Saccharomyces cerevisiae S288C: one gene and its partners. Changing the gene in region 1 together with any one later gene gives a genetic interaction. Each region holds a gene or a part of one and is shown on either strand. Other genes may lie near its edges.

What was found.
Region 2: of GLO1 (region 1) and HSP32, extra expression of one rescues a mutant of the other (dosage rescue), as found in Saccharomyces cerevisiae (one study listed by BioGRID).
Region 3: of GLO1 (region 1) and HSP31, extra expression of one rescues a mutant of the other (dosage rescue), as found in Saccharomyces cerevisiae (one study listed by BioGRID).

Annotation. Positions count from the first base shown.
Region 1 is NC_001145.3:261,205-265,131, forward strand, and holds GLO1 (lactoylglutathione lyase GLO1), read right to left. Parts: upstream 1,482-3,927; coding exon 501-1,481; downstream 1-500. Other genes in the region: TRM12 (tRNA(Phe) (4-demethylwyosine(37)-C(7)) aminocarboxypropyltransferase), read left to right, coding at 1-405; YML003W (uncharacterized protein), read left to right, coding at 2,279-3,151; VRL1 (Vrl1p), read left to right, coding at 3,337-3,927. UniProt on the Saccharomyces cerevisiae protein: Catalyzes the conversion of hemimercaptal, formed from methylglyoxal and glutathione, to S-lactoylglutathione. Can use gamma-glutamylcysteine as a substrate.
Region 2 is NC_001148.4:7,681-15,480, forward strand, and holds HSP32 (glutathione-independent methylglyoxalase family protein), read left to right. Parts: upstream 1-4,206; coding exon 4,207-4,920; downstream 4,921-7,800. Other genes in the region: seripauperin PAU22, read right to left, coding at 253-747; phosphopyruvate hydratase ERR2, read right to left, coding at 1,877-3,190; FEX2 (fluoride transporter), read right to left, coding at 5,548-6,675; YPL278C (uncharacterized protein), read right to left, coding at 7,373-7,675; YPL277C (uncharacterized protein), read right to left, coding at 7,725-7,800. UniProt on the Saccharomyces cerevisiae protein: Catalyzes the conversion of methylglyoxal (MG) to D-lactate in a single glutathione (GSH)-independent step. May play a role in detoxifying endogenously produced glyoxals. Involved in protection against reactive oxygen species (ROS).
Region 3 is NC_001136.10:1,498,310-1,506,025, forward strand, and holds HSP31 (glutathione-independent methylglyoxalase), read right to left. Parts: upstream 3,852-7,716; coding exon 3,138-3,851; downstream 1-3,137. Other genes in the region: CAB1 (pantothenate kinase), read left to right, coding at 1-1,026; KRE28 (Kre28p), read right to left, coding at 1,087-2,244; FIT1 (Fit1p), read right to left, coding at 5,005-6,591. UniProt on the Saccharomyces cerevisiae protein: Catalyzes the conversion of methylglyoxal (MG) to D-lactate in a single glutathione (GSH)-independent step. May play a role in detoxifying endogenously produced glyoxals. Involved in protection against reactive oxygen species (ROS).

The DNA of each region.
Region 1 (3,927 bases):
TGCCACGTTTTCCAAGAATCAAATGAAATGTGCGTTCAAAGGCTTACTGAATTCTTATCTCAGAATCCCGGATTTCGGTTACGTATTAGGCATATTAATTTAGGTCTCCTGCCTTCAAGCAAACAAGGGTGGCCATTGGCCATCAAATTAATTTACTTACAAGGAGCTTCTTTGGAAAAAGTGACAATGCATATACATGAAAATGTACACATAGATGCAATTGAGGATGGAAGTTTCGAAAAGAATGTCATTGTAGAACTCGACGCTATTAATGAGTCAATTGCATTAATTAGAAACCGTGGCATCAAACTTCAGTTTGTGAGATCTAAGCTTGAACGCATAAAAACTTTTGCACCAGATATTTGGCATGTATGCGTTGATGTCGACGTTATAGTAAGTACTTAAATACAAAATATAAATAATAATTAGTGTATGAAAAGTCAACAAGAATGGTCATTATTGTAAAAAAAAAATACTAACCTCCTATTCATTTCAACTTTTTAGGCAATCAAACCATGAGGAACGACTTCAATGGAATAACCATCAGGATCCTTCAAAAAGGCAATATTCTTCATTCTGCCTTGGTTAAATTTAGGAGACCATTGGATCTTATCGCCGTATTTCACTTCAATTTCTTTACAAAGGGCGCCAGCGTCATCACAACTTATGCAGATGTGACCATAACCCTGGGGCTCTGAGTTACCGTTATGATAGTGGAAGTTTGGATCATTCTCAGTTCCCCAATTATGAGTTAACTCCAACACACTTTCACATGAAAAAACGCTGTCGGTCTTTGGAACGCCATAACCAAGAAAGTATAACGTAAATTTTGCACTTTCGTGCTCACTAGTTCTTAATAATTTCATGCCCAACACATTCTGGTAGAATTCTAAAGACCGGGTTGGGTTTTTAATACGAATCATGGTATGATTGAACTTGTTACCTACTGAGCCCTTTGGGTATTCCTGACCCTCTCTAGAATATGTGATCAACTCAATCCAGTATCCATCAGGGCCTAAAGCAAACGCAATGTCCTTCTGTCTTCCTTCAGAGAGTCTCTTCTTGAATTTGACACCCTGAGATTCTAGCTCTTCGCAGGTTTTATTGATATCGGATACAGAAAAACAGATGTGCCCAAATCCACGATGAGGTTCCTCATTCCCGTTGTTGATCTTGTAGTCTGGGTTTTTTTCAGTACCCCAATTGTGAGTTAGTTCTAAGACACCGTGTGCGCTAAAAACATCAGGCTCTCCATTCTTATTTTTGGGTATGTCGTCTTTTGGAAAGCTTAAAAAGTACAAGCTAAATTTTGCTTCTTCAAAATCCTTTCTGCTTAATAGCTTCATACCGAAGTGTTCGGTGTAGAACTTAACGGTCCTTGCTGGATCCTTGACTCTTAAACATGTGTGATTAAGCAGAAGGGTTGGATCATTCGAGGCTTTCTCAATCTGAATTGGATAGCGTGTACTATCAGTGGACATTGTTAGTTTGTAGCTGGTGGCGTATCTGGTCTGAAGTGTCAAAAAAAAGGCATGGAAATGTTATTCCGATTTTTTTTCTCCCTATTTATAAACGTCACTAACTAGAAATACGGGATATCAACTACTACGAGAGAGGGACATTCTAGTATCAAAGAAACTTACTATGACGCAGTTTAGGATCCCTGTGGTGACTACGTATCCAGGTCTACTACTCCATCGTAAAGCCCCTTGTTTATTCAGTGTCCAGATCATATGCGGGATGTGTATTTTGTGCTGAGTGGAAAAATAAGATCATATGCTCAAGAATAAAGGGTTAAAGGGTATGGAAATTTCAGTTCTCCCTGGCTCAAGAACATTGTCAGTATTCCTATAACTGAAGCTGAGTGGTACTAATGCACCGAGATGCAAAGTCCGAACCACCCCCACCCCCCTCTTTACCTATTTTTTATATTTTGTGATAAAGGGATAACTCGTCTTGCCTTCACTGCGCTTCGATTCTACTTTAGCTAAACTAAGCGTTACTTTGTTTGAGAATCTCTCAGCCGTTAAATCAACGTACTTGTATACTAAACAGTATATTCACGTGATAACTTTGCCTTACACCTATGATATAGATAAATATATACATATATATGAGTGTGTGTGCATTGCGTCACTAAACTATGTTTAATATGACAGAAGGTTTTCGTTTAATTTTGCCGCTACCCGAAAATTTTGGCAGTTGCAATTTATAACTAAAGGAACCACCTTATTGTAAATTCCTCAACGGAAAAGCTATGGCTTAGCTAGGGTTGACAATGTCAGTTTACCATTTACCAACGCTGTTGAACCCGCTGGTTAATGCTATATTTAACTGTCCCGAACCAGAAAGATCCCCATTGAAAAAGCTTTTCGCTAATTTAAAAACCCGTAGGTTTATCCTCCTAGCACCTCCTTCAGAATACCTTTTGAATTACCACGATGTCAAGAGCAAACTGCCGTTACATGACCTCTGTTATAATGCAGAGTTTATTAACTCTTACATATTGTTAATGACTGAAAACTCTTACATAAATACGAATTCAAGGGACAGTCATTATGAAACGTTAGATGGTAAGACCGTTGTTATTCAATGGAAGAATAATGTGATCCATGCCTTAAATGGATTTCATATAAGGCGAAGACTAAAGATTCTAGAGACAAAAATATTACCCAATTTTAATGACTACTTTGAAGGGGCGGCTGATTTTATCATACTATTCATAGATCAACCTTTAAATTGCGAATTTGTACCTAACGACTACTTACAGTGTTTTCACAATTATGAGAAAATACCAAAAAATGCACATGCTATGCCAAATCTGTCGATAGATTCTTTTCAGCAAGAAAGATCGTCATTCGAGAATATATTGCACATTCATCCTGCTCGATTAACACAGCTTGGCCAATTGTTTTCGAGTTACAGAACGCTCGCTCCTGGTGATGATCCATCTAGAAGTATTTTTGAAAGCATCGTGCAACAAGCATTTGATGGAATGAAATCGGATTCACTTTTCAAGAACTTTTCTAATCTTTACGATCTTATACACGACTATTTTGAACTAAATCTTTACGATGATATATGGTCTAGGCTTACTACACATTTCAAAGGCCACGAAGTAGACACTGAAAAAATAAATATTTTTCAGTGAACCAGTTGTTGACAGATTTTTACTCAAAAGATTATGGGGAATTTAAATTACACGACATCACTCTTATTGAAAGGCGTCTCCATCTAGCGTCCAAACATCTTCAAAAGTTGGCTTTGACCCATTCATACGCTGAAAAATCTAAAATATTAGTTGAAACTCTACAGAAATTATCAGGTACTACCGAAATGGATTCACATCAACTAGAACTACCAGACGGATTGAATAACATGACGATGGATGCAGACACTTTAATTAGCCTTTTTGTGCTCGTTGTTTGCAGAAGTGAACAAAAGCACCTTAAAAGTCATCTTTACTATTTGCAAAATTTTTCGAATAACTCTTCTTCTACAAAATTCGGCATTCTAGGGTATGCTGTATCCACACTGGAAGCAGTGGTTTGTTATTTCGAAGACTTCAACAAAAATACAGGCAACGTGGCGAAAGCTAACACATTATGTGAAAAAACTAAGAATTTATTAGATAAGTTGTCATGTGAAAACCCCACAAATGAAGTAGAAGATCTGGCAACATACAAGGATATTTTGACCTACAGAAATGAGCAAGGACAATCCATTCTATCCATATGTATAACAAATCATAAAAACTACATCTTATTAGATATTCTTTCTGAATATGAAAACGACTTTCCAGTAGAAGACCTTTTAGAGGACGAAACGATTGATGGTTCTACGCTGCTTATAGAATCGATAAAAGCAGGAAATTTAGAAGCCGCGAAAGTTCTCATAAAGATCATGCTGTTCAATTGTACTGAAGAG
Region 2 (7,800 bases), on another chromosome or scaffold:
TATTGGACATACCCTATTAGCTTTATTACCATGCACCCTTTTCCAGAACAGTGACGCAAAAGAGAAGTTTCTATTTTGGGTTTATTGTATTGAGAAAATACTCCACAAACACTGTTATTGATCAAAAATGAGTTGTCATATTAATATACATTTACATATGAGAAATTGTATTTATATCAATAGAATAACATATTTTATTTCATTTTCTTTACTTTTTAATGTCTATGGAATTTCGTTCGTAAAAGCTTCTCTCTATTTTGGAATAGCAGTGTAGATACCGTCCTTAGATAGAGCACTGGAGATAGCCGGTCTCAATCTGGTAGAGTACCATGGGACACCAGTGATGACTCTGGTGACTTGTTCAGCTGGAATACCAGTCAACATGGTGGTGAAGTCACCATAGTTGAAAACAGCTTCAGCAATCTCAACTGGGTAGGTCTCTGTTGGATGAGCTGCTTGAAACAAGTAGTATTGAGCCAAATGAGCTCTGATATCGGAGACGTAAACACCCAATTCGACCAAGTTGACTCTTTCGTCAGATGGAGATAGAGTGGTAGTGGCTGGAGCAGCGGCAACACCGGCAGCGATAGCGGCAACACCAGCAGCGATTGAAGTTAATTTGACCATTGTATTTGTTTTGTTTGTTAGTGCTGATATAAGCTTAACAGGAAAGAAATGAATAAAGACATATTCTCGAAGGCATATAGTTGAAGTATCTCTATTTATACCTATTCCTTCATTGGTCATCACCACTTAAACGATTCGTTAACAGATGCTCCTTTAGCACTTCACATATTCTCCATATCTCATCTTTCCCACAACTTCATGATCACTATGAAGATGTTTTTGTTTTTAAACGAGGCATGCATCTTTATAGATTCTGTATGCGAAGGTATTGTTTTCTGGGGCCTTTGTCTATTCGTATGCGCCGAATGTGAGAATGCCAGTTATAGGGGTGCCGAGGTGCCTTATAAAACCCTTTTCCGTGCCTGTGATACTTCCTTTTTTGGTATAGCAGAATGTCTGAATTTAGTTGCTATAGATCCTCGTTCAGAAGCGTATTGCTAAGCCTATCTCCAGTATACCCTAAACGATCGCCGAGAAAAAATAATACTGTACCCTCCTATTTCCCGGAATTGTACAGAATAGTAGGTATGTGCTGGGAGTCGTATATTGTTAGAGTCTGTAATTTTTACGCGCGCCTAGTGGATTCGTTGATACGATTACGTTATTCTAAACCGTCGCAAAGCAAATTGTGTTGAAGTAATTCAAGACTTTAAATCACTTGTACCAAAATCATTGTTGCGAAAACTTATCCTCAGTATTAGTTTCTTGACCGTAACAGTAGTTGAAAAAAATAAAATCATTTCTATGATCGATACACTTTCATTATTTAACTTCTCTATTATGGTGTAACTTCTTACTTTTGTCAGAAAAAAAGATTTCAAGACACAACAAGAATGGGGTCAAAGGTCTGCTTGTACTATCAGGAAGATTTGATACCAACCGCGTTATAAGGGTTACTAGAAAGTAATAGCTGCTAAAAAATTTAAACCGAAGAGATTAATCAGAAAGCTGAAAAACTGCAGTGTTAGTAGAGTTGTAAGCATTTCTTGATTGGAACAGCCTTCCCCCACACGTCCACCCTTGTTCAGACAGATTCGTAATGATTTTGTGTGTAGGCAATGGAAAACTTTAAAAACGGTTTGATTTCCTACAAGATAAAACATATGAATAAAATAACTTGTGTCAAATGCCCCATTTCCATACTGTAACCCAAATCAACGAAATAAAAAATAAAACCTCATATGATTTACTTTATTTAGTCATAAAAAAACAAAAAAAAAAAAAAAAAAAAAGGAAACAAGACAATCCTTTATAGTTTGTTTCCATCATGAAACCTATGACCAGCATATATACAATCGTCCCCCAGTTCCTCTTCGATACGCAAAAGTTCATTATACTTGGCCAGTCTTTCTGATCTCGACAAAGCGCCCGATTTAATTTGACCACATCTTAAACCAACGACCAAATCAGCGATAAACGGATCTTCGGTTTCACCTGATCTATGCGATATCATTACACCCCATCCAGCATCGAAAGCCTGATTGGCGGCTTCAATAGACTCAGTCAGAGTACCGATCTGGTTGAGTTTCAGCAACAGAGTATTCGCACATTTCTCCTCTATAGCACGGGCGATCCTGGTCTTGTTGGTGCATGTCAGGTCATCTGCAATAATCTGAACATTGACAGTCTTTAGGAAGGCAGACCACGAGGACCAATCATCTTCGGCGTAGGGATCTTCCAGGGAAATGATTGGGTATTTCTTTAGCAATGAATGGTAATATTCTGCTAACTGGGCTGGACTGAGCCAGTGAGATGGGTCAGAGTTCGGTTCCTTGAAATTTAGGTCGTATTTCCCGTCCTTATAAAAAACAGAAGGAGCACTATCGATTCCTACTTTCACTCTACCCTCGTAACCGCATATGTTAATGGCTTCCACAATCATGTCCAAGGCGTCTTCGGCAGTGTCAATATCGGGGGCAACTCCACCCTCGTCACCAACATTTCCAGCGGAAGGTCCATATTGCTCCTTCGCCAATATCTTCAAATGATGGTAAACTTCCGAACCCATCCTCATGGCTTCTGCAAAGCTCTGAGCCCCGACTGGCGCGATCTTGAATTCTTGCATAGCTAAAGAGCCACCGGCGTGGGCTCCACCATTCAAAACATTGAAAAAAGGAACAGGAATAACAAAGGGGTCCTGTCTAGCATCCGCTAACTCGGCTATATACTTGTAGAGAGTAATTCCCTTTTGTGCGGCAGCAGCTCGAGCAACGCACAAGGAAACACCAAGGATAGCATTGGCGCCCAACCTTGACTTGTTAGAAGTTCCGTCTAACGATATCATGAGCTCGTCTATGCCCTTCTGATTGGTTACACATAATTCGGACTTGATTAAAGCAGGCCCTATGATACTATTGACGTTACTGACTGCCTTGGTCACCCCTTTTCCCATCCATTCGGACTTGTTCCCGTCTCTAAGTTCAACAGCTTCGTGAATGCCGGTGGAGGCACCAGATGGGACGATCGCTCTGAAGAGACCATTCTCTGTTGTAATTTCAACCTCAACAGTCGGATTGCCGCGAGAATCATACACCGTTCTAGCATGTACCTTCGTGATGGACATATTTTTATCGTTGAGATTCGATTTTTTCCTCACCTTGTTTTGGTATTTCTATTGCAAGACAAAGTGAAAGAAGAAGAAGTGGTGGTAAAAAATAACTATATATAATGAAAATTGTAACCTGGTGGGAGTGCAAACTGTAAGTGATAACCTGCCAGATCCATGTTTCTATTATATACCTAAGAACCAGCCAAGTTAGGTAAACGAGGAGTCTTTCAATATCTCTTTTCTAGTGAGAATGTTATTTAGGTAAATGAACAAGTTACCACTATACTACTCACCCCCTACACTTTGTTTGTGACCTCTCCCCTTATCCAGTTCATCGAAACTTTTTTTTCAACTTGTGGCGATCTGTGACATTGTCTACTACAAGAACCGATTTTGGTTGATGTCTGTAAAAAAAACAACCTTACCTTTCCAGATCCAACTTTCCAGGAGAGCTGCGTGAGTTTCAAATATTTACCATGTCGGAGAAAGCTCCCAAGTACTTCCTTGTTCTTGTCATTTTTTCCTTATCTCCATCCTTTAAGGAAGGTATTTCCATTATGCGATTCTATAAATCCGAGCATGCGAGTATTTCTTTTCTTGGCGCGGAGTCGCTGATGACGCAATAGGCACATTCACGAACATCCAGGACTGGTAATCTTCTCGTCTTAAAGAAAATCCAACCACCAGTAAGAAACTCTTGGGTAAAATGGGGTATCTGAAATATTGCATAGCTGCAAATGAAGATATTCAGTATCAGCATAGGTATTTTCATGAAGGATAGGTAAAAAGAAAGAAAAGAAAAATATCTTTTTGACTGTTGTTCTTGCAATTATCACAATTAGGGGACTTTAAAACCGATACTTGATATATGAGCACAGTCAAGGGGCCGGTTCTTGAGATTTTAATGGAAAAGAGGAAAGTTGCACATACAGGTCTGCTTTTCTTTGCTTGCTCCAGACAACGATACTTAGAACTAAAACATATTTCTAGAACACTTTTCTCCTTCATTCAAAAAGAAAACTGGCCTTGCAATGACTCCAAAAAGAGCGCTAATATCTCTTACTTCATACCACGGTCCCTTCTATAAAGATGGTGCGAAAACAGGCGTTTTTGTAGTTGAGATTTTGCGGTCGTTCGATACTTTCGAAAAGCATGGTTTCGAAGTGGACTTCGTTTCTGAGACTGGTGGATTTGGCTGGGATGAACATTACTTGCCAAAGAGCTTTATTGGTGGCGAAGATAAGATGAACTTTGAAACGAAAAATTCCGCCTTCAATAAGGCGTTAGCGAGGATCAAGACCGCAAATGAAGTCAACGCCAGCGACTATAAAATATTCTTTGCATCTGCTGGACATGGTGCTCTATTTGACTATCCCAAAGCTAAAAATCTGCAAGATATTGCATCCAAGATATATGCCAATGGGGGTGTGATCGCTGCCATCTGTCATGGACCGCTCCTTTTCGATGGATTAATAGATATCAAAACAACAAGACCATTAATCGAAGGCAAAGCTATAACAGGTTTCCCACTCGAGGGTGAAATCGCCCTGGGAGTTGACGACATCTTGAGGAGCAGAAAATTGACAACGGTTGAACGCGTTGCAAACAAGAATGGAGCCAAGTACTTGGCGCCAATCCATCCCTGGGATGACTACTCTATTACAGATGGAAAGCTAGTTACGGGTGTTAACGCAAATTCTTCCTATTCGACCACAATTAGAGCTATAAACGCATTATATAGCTGAAACAAAAGACAAGGGAATTGTTGAAGGGGAGGCTTCTAATGGCTTTCAGTTTCTGTGAAGAGAAGGCTAACAGCTCAATGGTTCGAAAGGTAAAGAAAACGGCAGGTCGGTAGCACTCGATTTTGCTAGAATGGAAATCATATAGAGAACAATTGAATAGTAGGCCTTGGTTTTTAGTGTTGTACTCATCATGGTCATATGTGACATAGGTAATGTACATATATATATAAAAAAAAAAAAAGCAATGCTGTGAGATCATTCGTTACTTACGAAATACGCAGATTGCAATTTGAAATAAGCTGTGTTTTCTTTTTTTTCCTTTTTTTTTCTTTTTTTTGGCTTGTTATATACAACTTTTTTCTATTTCTGTTCTTTTTAGAAGTAATTAATTGGTACATAGGAAATAAATATGAATTATATTAAATGAAGTAAAAGTAAAAGAAAACGGGGAAATTTATCGTTTTGTAGTAAATAGATGATGGAACGCATTCATAAAATCTCACAAAATATTACAATAAACCGCAGTAGTCGGTAAAAATGTATTATACAACGTCTAAAATCTTGAAAATGAATTAAAAAAAAAAAAAGGTGGGATGATTGTGCAGGAAAAGGTATGAAGAAAAGATCCTAACAAATCGGGTTAGTCAATCCTCTAGTCCAAGCATAGGATCCGAGAGTTATCACCAATAAGCAATATGAAATTCCAATCGAAACAGTATAATAAATAAGCATGTTAATAAATGATAGCTTATACCCTTCATTGATAAACGTGCTAATGGTACTCAAAGTGCCGCAAAATCCGGATATTAACGCAGAAACAATATGGCATGAATTCAACGAGTTCACAATTGGAATATCCGTGGAAAAGTGTTTTTTACCACGTTGCACCATGGTAAATATGCCAATCAATAAAGTGGCGAAAACGTTTGCCAAGAAAGTACCCAATGGAAACTTTTTGTTTGTTTTATTAAACATTTCTGCCAACCAATATCTTAGGAAACCAGCGAAAATTCCAAATAGACATGGTAGTGTCCACTTGCCCCTCGAATAGTTCTCATAATACGCACACAGCACCACAAACAAAATAATTAATGGAAAAGCTAGTGCGTACGCGAGTTTATCCACAACATCAAAAAATTTCTTAAAAAATGGTGCTGGAGTTTTGAATTTAAACTCTAGAATATTTTTTTCCATTTCTTGTGTATCAACATCACCAGCATTTTCCTTTACAGTGTCTGAGGGAGGGGTATATGGCTTCGAAAACGAACTAGATCCATAAGCAACAATAACCTCCTTACCAAGTTGCCTACCGAAAATAAGACTACCCATGGAAACCATAAGATGAACGAGCAAGACAGATAAAAACTCCATTATACCGTAAGCTCTGTTCGGCAGTTTTGTGTGGTTAGCGATATTACCGTTAGTTAAGTTTGTAGAGTGTTCGAACATCTCTAGCAGCATACTAGAAAAGGAAGACAGGGCACCACAGTACCCAGTAGTTACACCTAAAAACAAGACTTGGTGATCTTTCATCCAAGTGTAAGCATTTAAAGATTGCATAATCCCCATTAGCATGCAGGATGAACAATTAGACCAGAGAACGGTCGGAGCAGTAACGAAGGCCGGAGTGTAGGTGGAAAGCGCCGTTATAGCCTGACGTGTTTCAGTACCTAATATGCAGAACGTGGTGAATGTACAAAAAACATGAATATAATGGCTCAACTTGTGATTTGATATGACCGGATTGAAAATCATCAGAGCATTACACGCTCGATTAAATAATTAAATAACTGCAGATTCTTGAGCCACCAGACGCTAAATAATAATGGCGGCAATAAATATAATCCTTTAGTACTTATTTCAGTTGTTTTTTGTTTTATTTTTTCCGTATCTCTTCCGTATCTCTTCCATCATTGCGTCAAAAGTGATTTACACTGCTACATGAATCGCGCCACTTTATGTCAGTGAATCTTTCATACATCGCAACTCCTCACTGACAGTGACTCTAGCAGAGTCACCATCTTTTCGATATACCCATCAAAGTGCACGATTCTCCTCCCCTGTTAGACAATCGTAACGTAATATCGACATGTATTCGTAGCACCGCTGCCAAATAATTTTCAGATCGTTCATTGTACATGAACCAAGCGCTGTTGCTTTACTTTATGATATTGCTGCTGAGCTCCCTTGTCTTTCATACGACGTTTTATCTTGATTTCATATCTTTTTTTTTTGGTAAAATAGAAAATACTCAACAGATATCTGATATGTATATAAACACTAAATAAAGAAAATCTTAAATCTTGCTGGCATGACTGTCGCTGTGTCTCAAATCTCTTAGTAATTCATAGATGTGTATCACCCCAAATCTCAAAAACTTCATAATTATTATTGGATTATCTAGAAATCATACCCTTCATACTGTCCCACAATGGCCTGCTCACATGAGGCGCTAATGATTACGATTAACCATCAAATCATTTATATTGATACACTGTAGTTTACTGTTAATAACCAACCTTTGTCGAGATTCATCAAAGTGGGTTCCAAATCCCTCATTGTGGGAACCTGGTTCAGTCATACCCATTGGAGATGGGCCCCAGGAAGGAGTGTAACAAACTTCATCCCAATTGCATTGCCTCTCACAACGGTAATTTAGTTCAATCCACCCTAGAGATTCAATTAAACCATCGATAGTGGAGCGAGCCGTTTCGACATTCTTTATTAAGTCGCTGGAAGTTGTGTTATCTGTCATAAAAGAGTAGACTTCGGGTATCAATAAATCATTCACTTTATAAATGACATCAACAATTTCTCCGACAACGCTGACAGCAGATGACCAAATCAAAAAGTCTGCATCCGTTTTTAAGGCCTGGTATG
Region 3 (7,716 bases), on another chromosome or scaffold:
GGCACTCTGGCTAAAGTAGTCTTCTCGCCTATACACAGTAACAGGCTGATGTTCTACACCATTGAAACAGAGAAAATTGACAAGTTCATGGAACTTCTGCATTCTATTATCAAAGAACATAACAATGGATGCTATAGAATGACTCATATAATTGCCACTGGTGGTGGCGCCTTCAAGTTTTATGATTTGTTGTATGAAAATTTTCCTCAAATAAAAGGTATATCGAGGTTCGAAGAAATGGAAGGCTTAATTCACGGTTTAGACTTTTTCATTCATGAGATTCCCGATGAAGTTTTCACTTACAACGATCAAGATGGCGAAAGGATAATACCCACCAGTTCCGGCACCATGGACTCAAAGGCTATCTACCCATACCTTCTAGTCAATATAGGGTCGGGTGTCTCAATATTAAAAGTCACCGAACCAAACAATTTTAGTAGAGTAGGCGGTTCTTCACTGGGAGGAGGAACTCTTTGGGGCCTATTATCACTAATTACTGGCGCTCAAACTTATGATCAGATGCTCGATTGGGCACAAGAGGGTGACAATTCTAGCGTTGATATGCTAGTTGGAGATATTTATGGAACAGACTATAATAAAATTGGTCTAAAGTCGTCAGCTATTGCAAGTTCATTTGGTAAAGTTTTCCAAAATAGAATGACATCTAACAAATCTTTGGAAAACAACGAAAATAAATTATATTCCTCACATGAGTCTATTGAGAAAAACAATGGACAAATGTTTAAGAATCCTGATATTTGTAAAAGTCTTCTATTCGCCATCTCCAACAATATTGGGCAAATAGCTTATTTGCAAGCTAAAATCAATAATATACAGAATATATACTTTGGCGGATCTTATACCAGAGGACATTTGACTACCATGAACACTTTGAGCTACGCTATTAATTTTTGGTCACAAGGATCAAAGCAAGCGTTTTTTCTCAAACATGAAGGCTATTTGGGTGCAATGGGTGCTTTCCTAAGCGCGTCTCGTCATTCATCTACTAAGAAAACAAGTACGTAGATAGATTTCACTTTTTTTTTGGCTAGTAATATTACATACATCTTTATCTAGATAATTAATTTATTCGTTTGTTAGCTCGCTTATAATGTCATCCATTACCTCAAAGATTTGCACCTTAGTATTATTTCTGTACTTATTGTTAAATTTACTGCTCGCTTCAATGTCTGTGACTATATTGCCACCCGCTTTTTGTAAAATAGTAATGTCTTTTATCATTGGCCTTTTTAAATCGCTTAAAGATATGGCAATTATATATTGCATATCCTTTATTTCAAATTGTACTTTTCCAAGCTGGGTAAAGATTTCAAAATTTAATATAGTCGTCTTTGACCCTTTGAGTAAAAAGTGCTTTTCCCAAAATTTTGTTAGCAAATTAATTGACTGACATAATTCTGATTCATTGGCCATTAAATGTCCAGAATCCTCTTTTTTTGATTGCTCTCCTTTTCGTATTATTTGATTTTTAACTTCATGCATTTCCTTGAGCTCTTTCGTTAACCTTTGATTTTGCTTCTGCAAAAATAGTAGTTTTTGCCAATTCGTGTATGTCTCTTCCACAAAATCATCTGAATCACTTGAATTTAATATCGTATCTTTTTCTCCCATCATATTCTTATCTTCTTTGTTTGTTAAATTTTTTAGTTCATTGAGCGAATCCCAACAATTTTCAATATCACCAGTGGCTTCCAGATACAACTCATTTATTAAATCTTGCCTTTCTGCAAAGTTGTGACCGGTCTCTTGGATTTCAGCTTTGATTTGTTCTATTTTGCTTTCTTGAACATTCGAAATTTCTTCCTTTAAATCATTAACTCTTTCATTAAGTTTTACAAATTGGGGGTCTTTTTCGGAATCTAACTGCAAAGGTTTCGTCGAGGACAAAGTAAACCTGAAGAAATAGTCCAATGTCTCCTGTTCCAAGTAAGTCAACTTAAGTAACTCCATTAGTTTATTGAACTCCTTGATTTTTGCACTCAGAATTTTTGGATTTACAAAGACCTCCTTTCCCTCTACGTCTAAGCTCTCATCGTTCCTAAGAGGATTCACAAACTTGTTCTCTTCATTTATTGCCAGAATGCTGGAAGTAATTTCGTGCAATGTATTTTTGAGCCTTAGTTCTTGGTTATTTAGCACTTCTTCGCTGCTCACAGCAATAGAATCCTCAATATCCGTTAACACGGTCTCATAGTCCTTTATGCTCGCACTCCCTGTATCCATTTCTTCACTAATTTTGTTTTAAAGCTAGTCTATATGTTTTTTTCTATTGGTTGAAGTTTTTTTGATGCTGCTCATTCTCCTTGTGTTTATAAATAATGAGTTACGCGATCTTCACTTTTTTTACATGTGCTTATATTTAACTGCCTAGTTCCCAAGCGATGGCATTAAAGACAGCCAAATGCTAATTTCTGGTTGAATAACCTAATACGTATGCCCTAAATTATTTTTCCTTTTTAATCTGGAAGATATTGTTTATCCGGATGATATAACGTTCAATTTAATTGATGGGCATTACTAAATATTTTCAATATGACCAATTCGTGTCGACATTCTGCCATAATTAACCTGAGAAAAAAACATTTTTCGTGATCATTTAGCAAGAAACCGCAAGGAACAGCTCACTAAGATGCAAATAACCATTAGATAACTGAAACACACCTACAATGTCCCACATGAATAAACCCTTTAGGAAGCATCGGCAGCTGACAGAAATACCAAAATGAAAAAAAAAAAATTTAGAAAGTTTTATGTATAGTTTTACATATTGCATAGATGATTTGCAGCGTAACGACGCTAATGCTTTCTTCTCCATTCTCATTGATATTAACGTTGGCTAGATAAATGCTGTGCAACGGAGTGGCTGAAAAATAAATTGTAGCACCTTGTTGGAGACCAAATGTAGTCTTCACTATTAACCTCTAGCTAAAGCAGATAAAAGATAAAGATTATAAACTTTGGTTATTGGAAGACCCATCTCAGACATGTGTTTCCCCAATATCCAAATATTTCAACGTATTAACAATGAGGTACATCCCTCGTACTCAATAACGCCTCCTAAAGTTCCTTACATCTATATAGTAGTACAAAGGAAATTCTAATTATCAACCTTTGGCTCAGTTTTTTAAAGCGTCGATGGATCTTACGGCAGTGGAGTGCGCAGAAGCAGGATTCACACCTGTTACCAGTCTTCCGTCAGTAATAGAGTAATCATCCCAGGGCCCAACCGGAGCTAAATACTTAGCGCCATATTTTTTAGCAACATCTTCAACGGTTGCCAAATTCTTGGCTTTCAAAATACTATCAACACCCAAAATGGTTTCACCAACATCAGTAAAACCGGTGATAGATTTACCTTCGATCAATGGTCTTCCTGTTTTTTTGTCTGTTAACCCATCAAAAATAGCAGGACCGTGACAAACAGCTGCGACAACACCACCGTTAGCATAAATTTCGGAAGCAATGTCCTGCAAGTCTTTAGCCTTAGGATAGTCAAATAAGGTACCGTGGCCTGCAGATGCAAAAAAAATTTGGTAATCATCGGCATTCACCTCTTTTGGTGTCTTAATTTTAGCCAATGTCTTGTTGAAATCTGAGTCTTTATTTTTAAAATCCGTTTCGTCTTGACCATTTAGAAAATCTTTGGCTAAGGAATGCTCATCCCAACCAAATTTTCCGGTTTCAGATACAAAATCGACTTCAAAACCTTCTTTTCGGAATGTGTTGAAGGGATGTAAGGCTTCTACAACAAAAACACCGGTCTTGGCGCCGTCACTGTAGAATACATCGTTATATGAGGTAAGAGCGAGTAAAACTTTTTTTGGGGCCATTATAAATTTGTTTGAGTTTTATCTGTGTAATTAGCCAGTGGGAAGTACTTAAAAATGCCGTTAATAAAATTTAGCGGATGATAAAGAAATGAATGGTTCTCCTTATGGCTGTTTATATATCTGATTTAAAGGGTAACGGAAACCGGAAGCAATAATGGAACCGTGAAGCCATCCCTTGAAAAAATTTTCCATTTCTTTCATGAAGACTATGTACATGCCCCTTATGCCAAGCTTTTTGATTTTCAGGCTAGGAATGAGTAACGTTAATTCTCTGTATACATTCGCCCAGATTTCTTTACGGGATTTATGGATCCGTCAGAACAAAAAGCCGCCTCCCATGGATATCCTGCGTATTAGTCAGCATTATTTCTTTTATTCCGTAGCAGCTAAAAAATCTCCTAGAAAGAACGATCCTATCTGTCGCAACGGTACGTCGTGATTTTTTTATGGGCTTATTCTTCCGAAAGTGTTCATTAAAGCATTTGGTGCATGTTTAATGTTCTATTTTTAATACACGTAGTAAACTTCGTGTTTTCTTCTCTCTGACCTAAATTATTACAGCCATATATAACTTTTTTTTTTAAATTCGGATAACTGGCACAGTACCAAAAGCTAAAATTTCTCACAAAAACATAATTATATGACAAACTGAACTACTCATTGCTACAGGTAATTTCAATAAAATGCGCTCAATGAAGTTGTGAATTTGCTTGCTTGTCTTTCTCGACCTTCTTTCAGTATTATACTCCATTTGAATCTGATCACAAACACGAAAGTTCATTTCTTGTTTTGAACTATAAAATCATCATGTCATTTTTTAACTTTTATTTTCCTTGGCGTCAGATAAAACAAATACCCACTCTCACCTTTTAAAAAGCAAGAAATAAATAAAATGGTTATTTTTGAAAAGTCATATTTAACAAGTGAAATAGACATTGTTTTTAGATTATTTTAATCAACACCTGATATTTTCTTGATATAATATTACATACTGGTACATTCTTATAGACAGCCAGTGTCACGCAGACAAATAACATTGCGGACATAAGCTTTATCAACTATGATGAAATACTTAATTCACAATGCCATTTTGAAAAGTAAGACCACGGAGAGATCAGAAAGGTTGATTCTGCGCATCTGTCGTTAGCAGAAATTACAAAAAGATAACGGCAGCGAGCGCAGCGCCCATCAGACCCGTACCAGCGGCGATAGAATCAGCCGCACCCGTGTAATTCACGATTTGAGGAGTTGTGGACGACTTACCGTTAGTGAAAATACCAGCGGTAGTGGTTTGAACTCTTGTAATAGAGGATACCATTTTTGTGCTTGCAGAAGAACTTGATGACCAATTGTTACTTTCATGGGTACGAACAGATTGGGCATCCCTAGAAGAACTCTCTGTGTAAGCTTGCCCAATTCTAGTAGGAGTAACAATAGTAGCGCTTGACTCAGAGGAGGTGGTAGTAGATGCTACAACTGCAGACGTGGATTTAGAATTAGAGGAATTTTCAGTAGTAGTAGAAGAAAAAGTTGGCACAACAGAAGAGGTTTTTGCAGCAGAAGAAGTCTCAATAGGAGAAGAAGCCTGGACAGAAGATGAAAGAGAAGTCTGAGTAGGAGATAAGCTTTTAACAGAAGTGGTCTCGATAGTAGAGGAAGAAGAAGAAGTCTCAACAGCAGAAGTCTCAACAGCAGAAGAAATCTCAACAGCAGAGGAAGTCTCAACGGCAGAGGAAGTCTCAGCAGCAGAGGAAGTCTCAGCAGCAGAAGAAGTCTCAACAGCAGAGGAAGTCTCAACAGCAGAGGAAGTCTCAACAGCAGAGGAAGTCTCAGCAGCAGAGGAAGTCTCAACAGCAGAAGAAGCCTCCACAATAGAGGCCTCAGTAGTGGAGGGAATTTCAATAGCAGAAATACTAGAAGTTGCAACGGTGGAGGCAGGAGCGCGTTCACCCTCACCAGTCCATACGAAAGTAGCGTCCTGGGTGACGGTCTTTGTGTAGACATGTCCATTTTTGGTGGCTGTAATAGTGGTAGTTATACTCGAACCAGATCCTTCATCAGTAGAGGCAGAAGGTTCAGCAACAGATGTTACTGGAGAAGCAGCTGTTTCGACAGTAGCAACGGTTGAGACAGGAGCACGTTCACCCTCACCAGTCCATACGAAAGTAGCGTCCTGGGTGACGGTCTTTGTGTAGACATGTCCATTTTTGGTGGCTGTAATAGTGGTGGTTATACTCGAACCAGACCCTTCATCAGCAGAGGTGCCCTGAGCAGAGGTAGAAGGTTCAGCAACAGATGTTTCAGCGGCAACAGATGTTTCGACAGTAGCAACAGTTGAGGCAGGAGCACGTTCACCCTCTCCAGTCCATACGAAAGTAGCATCCTGGGTGACGGTCTTTGTGTAGACATGTCCATTTTTGGTGGCTGTAATAGTGGTGGTTATACTCGAACCAGACCCTTCATCAGCAGAGGTGCCCTGAGCAGAAGTGGAAGGCTCAACAATAGATGTTTCAGCGGCAACAGATGTTTCAGCGGCAGCAGACGTTGCAGCGACAGTAGACGCTTCAGTTACTGCGGAGGTTACCGCAGCGCCTTCTCCTGCCCAGACAAAAGTAGCATCTTGAGTGACAGTCTTGGTGTAAACATGCCCATTTTTGGTAGCAGTTATCGTAGTAGTAATACTTTCGCCTAAAGCGGCAACGGTGATAGCAGATAATACAAAAGCGGAAGACAATTTCATTTTCGGGTATTGTATTGTTATTACTATTATTATTCAGGCGAACAAAAGGACTTTCTGAAAATAAACACGGCATTAGGAATATAGAAAAGTTAGATAATCATTAGTTTAAATAGTGCAAAAACTTCACTTCAAAAATGGTATACGAGTGTCATATTATATTAGATATTCATTTTTTTGCACCCTTTCCTAGAACTCGCGTATTGAGCCCTGAGGTGTCTGTCATTACATTATGCCAAATGTGCGACAGCGCGGTTTGGAACAAACAGGGTGCGGAACAGGGTGCACGGCATAGTTAAAAATGGAAGTTTTGGTGGGTTGTTTAAACTCTGATTGTAATTGGCGACCATTCACTGCTTATTTCGTTTATCTGGTAATTGTCAACATGGTAATGACCATCAAAACAGTAAACCCGATACTCGAAAAAGTGCTCAGCGCGATCACTGTCGTCTGGCCAATAACATTTTATAATAAAATACGTTTTTCCTGAAAGTATCAATTAGAAATAGCGATGCATAAACCGATTAATGTGAGATCCTAATACTGTTCCATTTGTTAGTCTTTTTTCCACAATTGCTCCTCTTTTTTTCCTTTCAAAACTTATAGAAAAGTTCTTGATGATTAAATAATCAGTAAAAAAATACTGCCCAATAAGTTCAAAGCGATCACGAATATTTTAAGAACATATGGGAAGAAGATGGCACAGATTAACGATCGTTAACAAATTATGTACCATAGAAGTATCAATTCTTCCAGTGTTGCACTTTAATGGAAATATAAGGATTAAAATAATGTTTCTCCATTGACTACCAAATAATTTTTCTCCATTGGCTACCAAATAATCTTTCTCCATTGGCTACCAAATAATCTTTCTTCATTGACTACCAAATAATCGATAAGATAAAATAGCACGAAGCGATATGAAAATACACAGTCGGCTAAAAATTTGTGGGTAATTTACCTTCTTGATGCATCAAAAATCGACTTTTTAAGAGTTAATAATCATTAACCTTATTCTGACGAAAATAGCAGCGTATTTAACTCTATTGTACAAACATAATTTTCTTCTTATTGCGTTAGAGTTTCCTTTGCTATGGATCAATGAAATTGCAGATTACGAAAGAATCA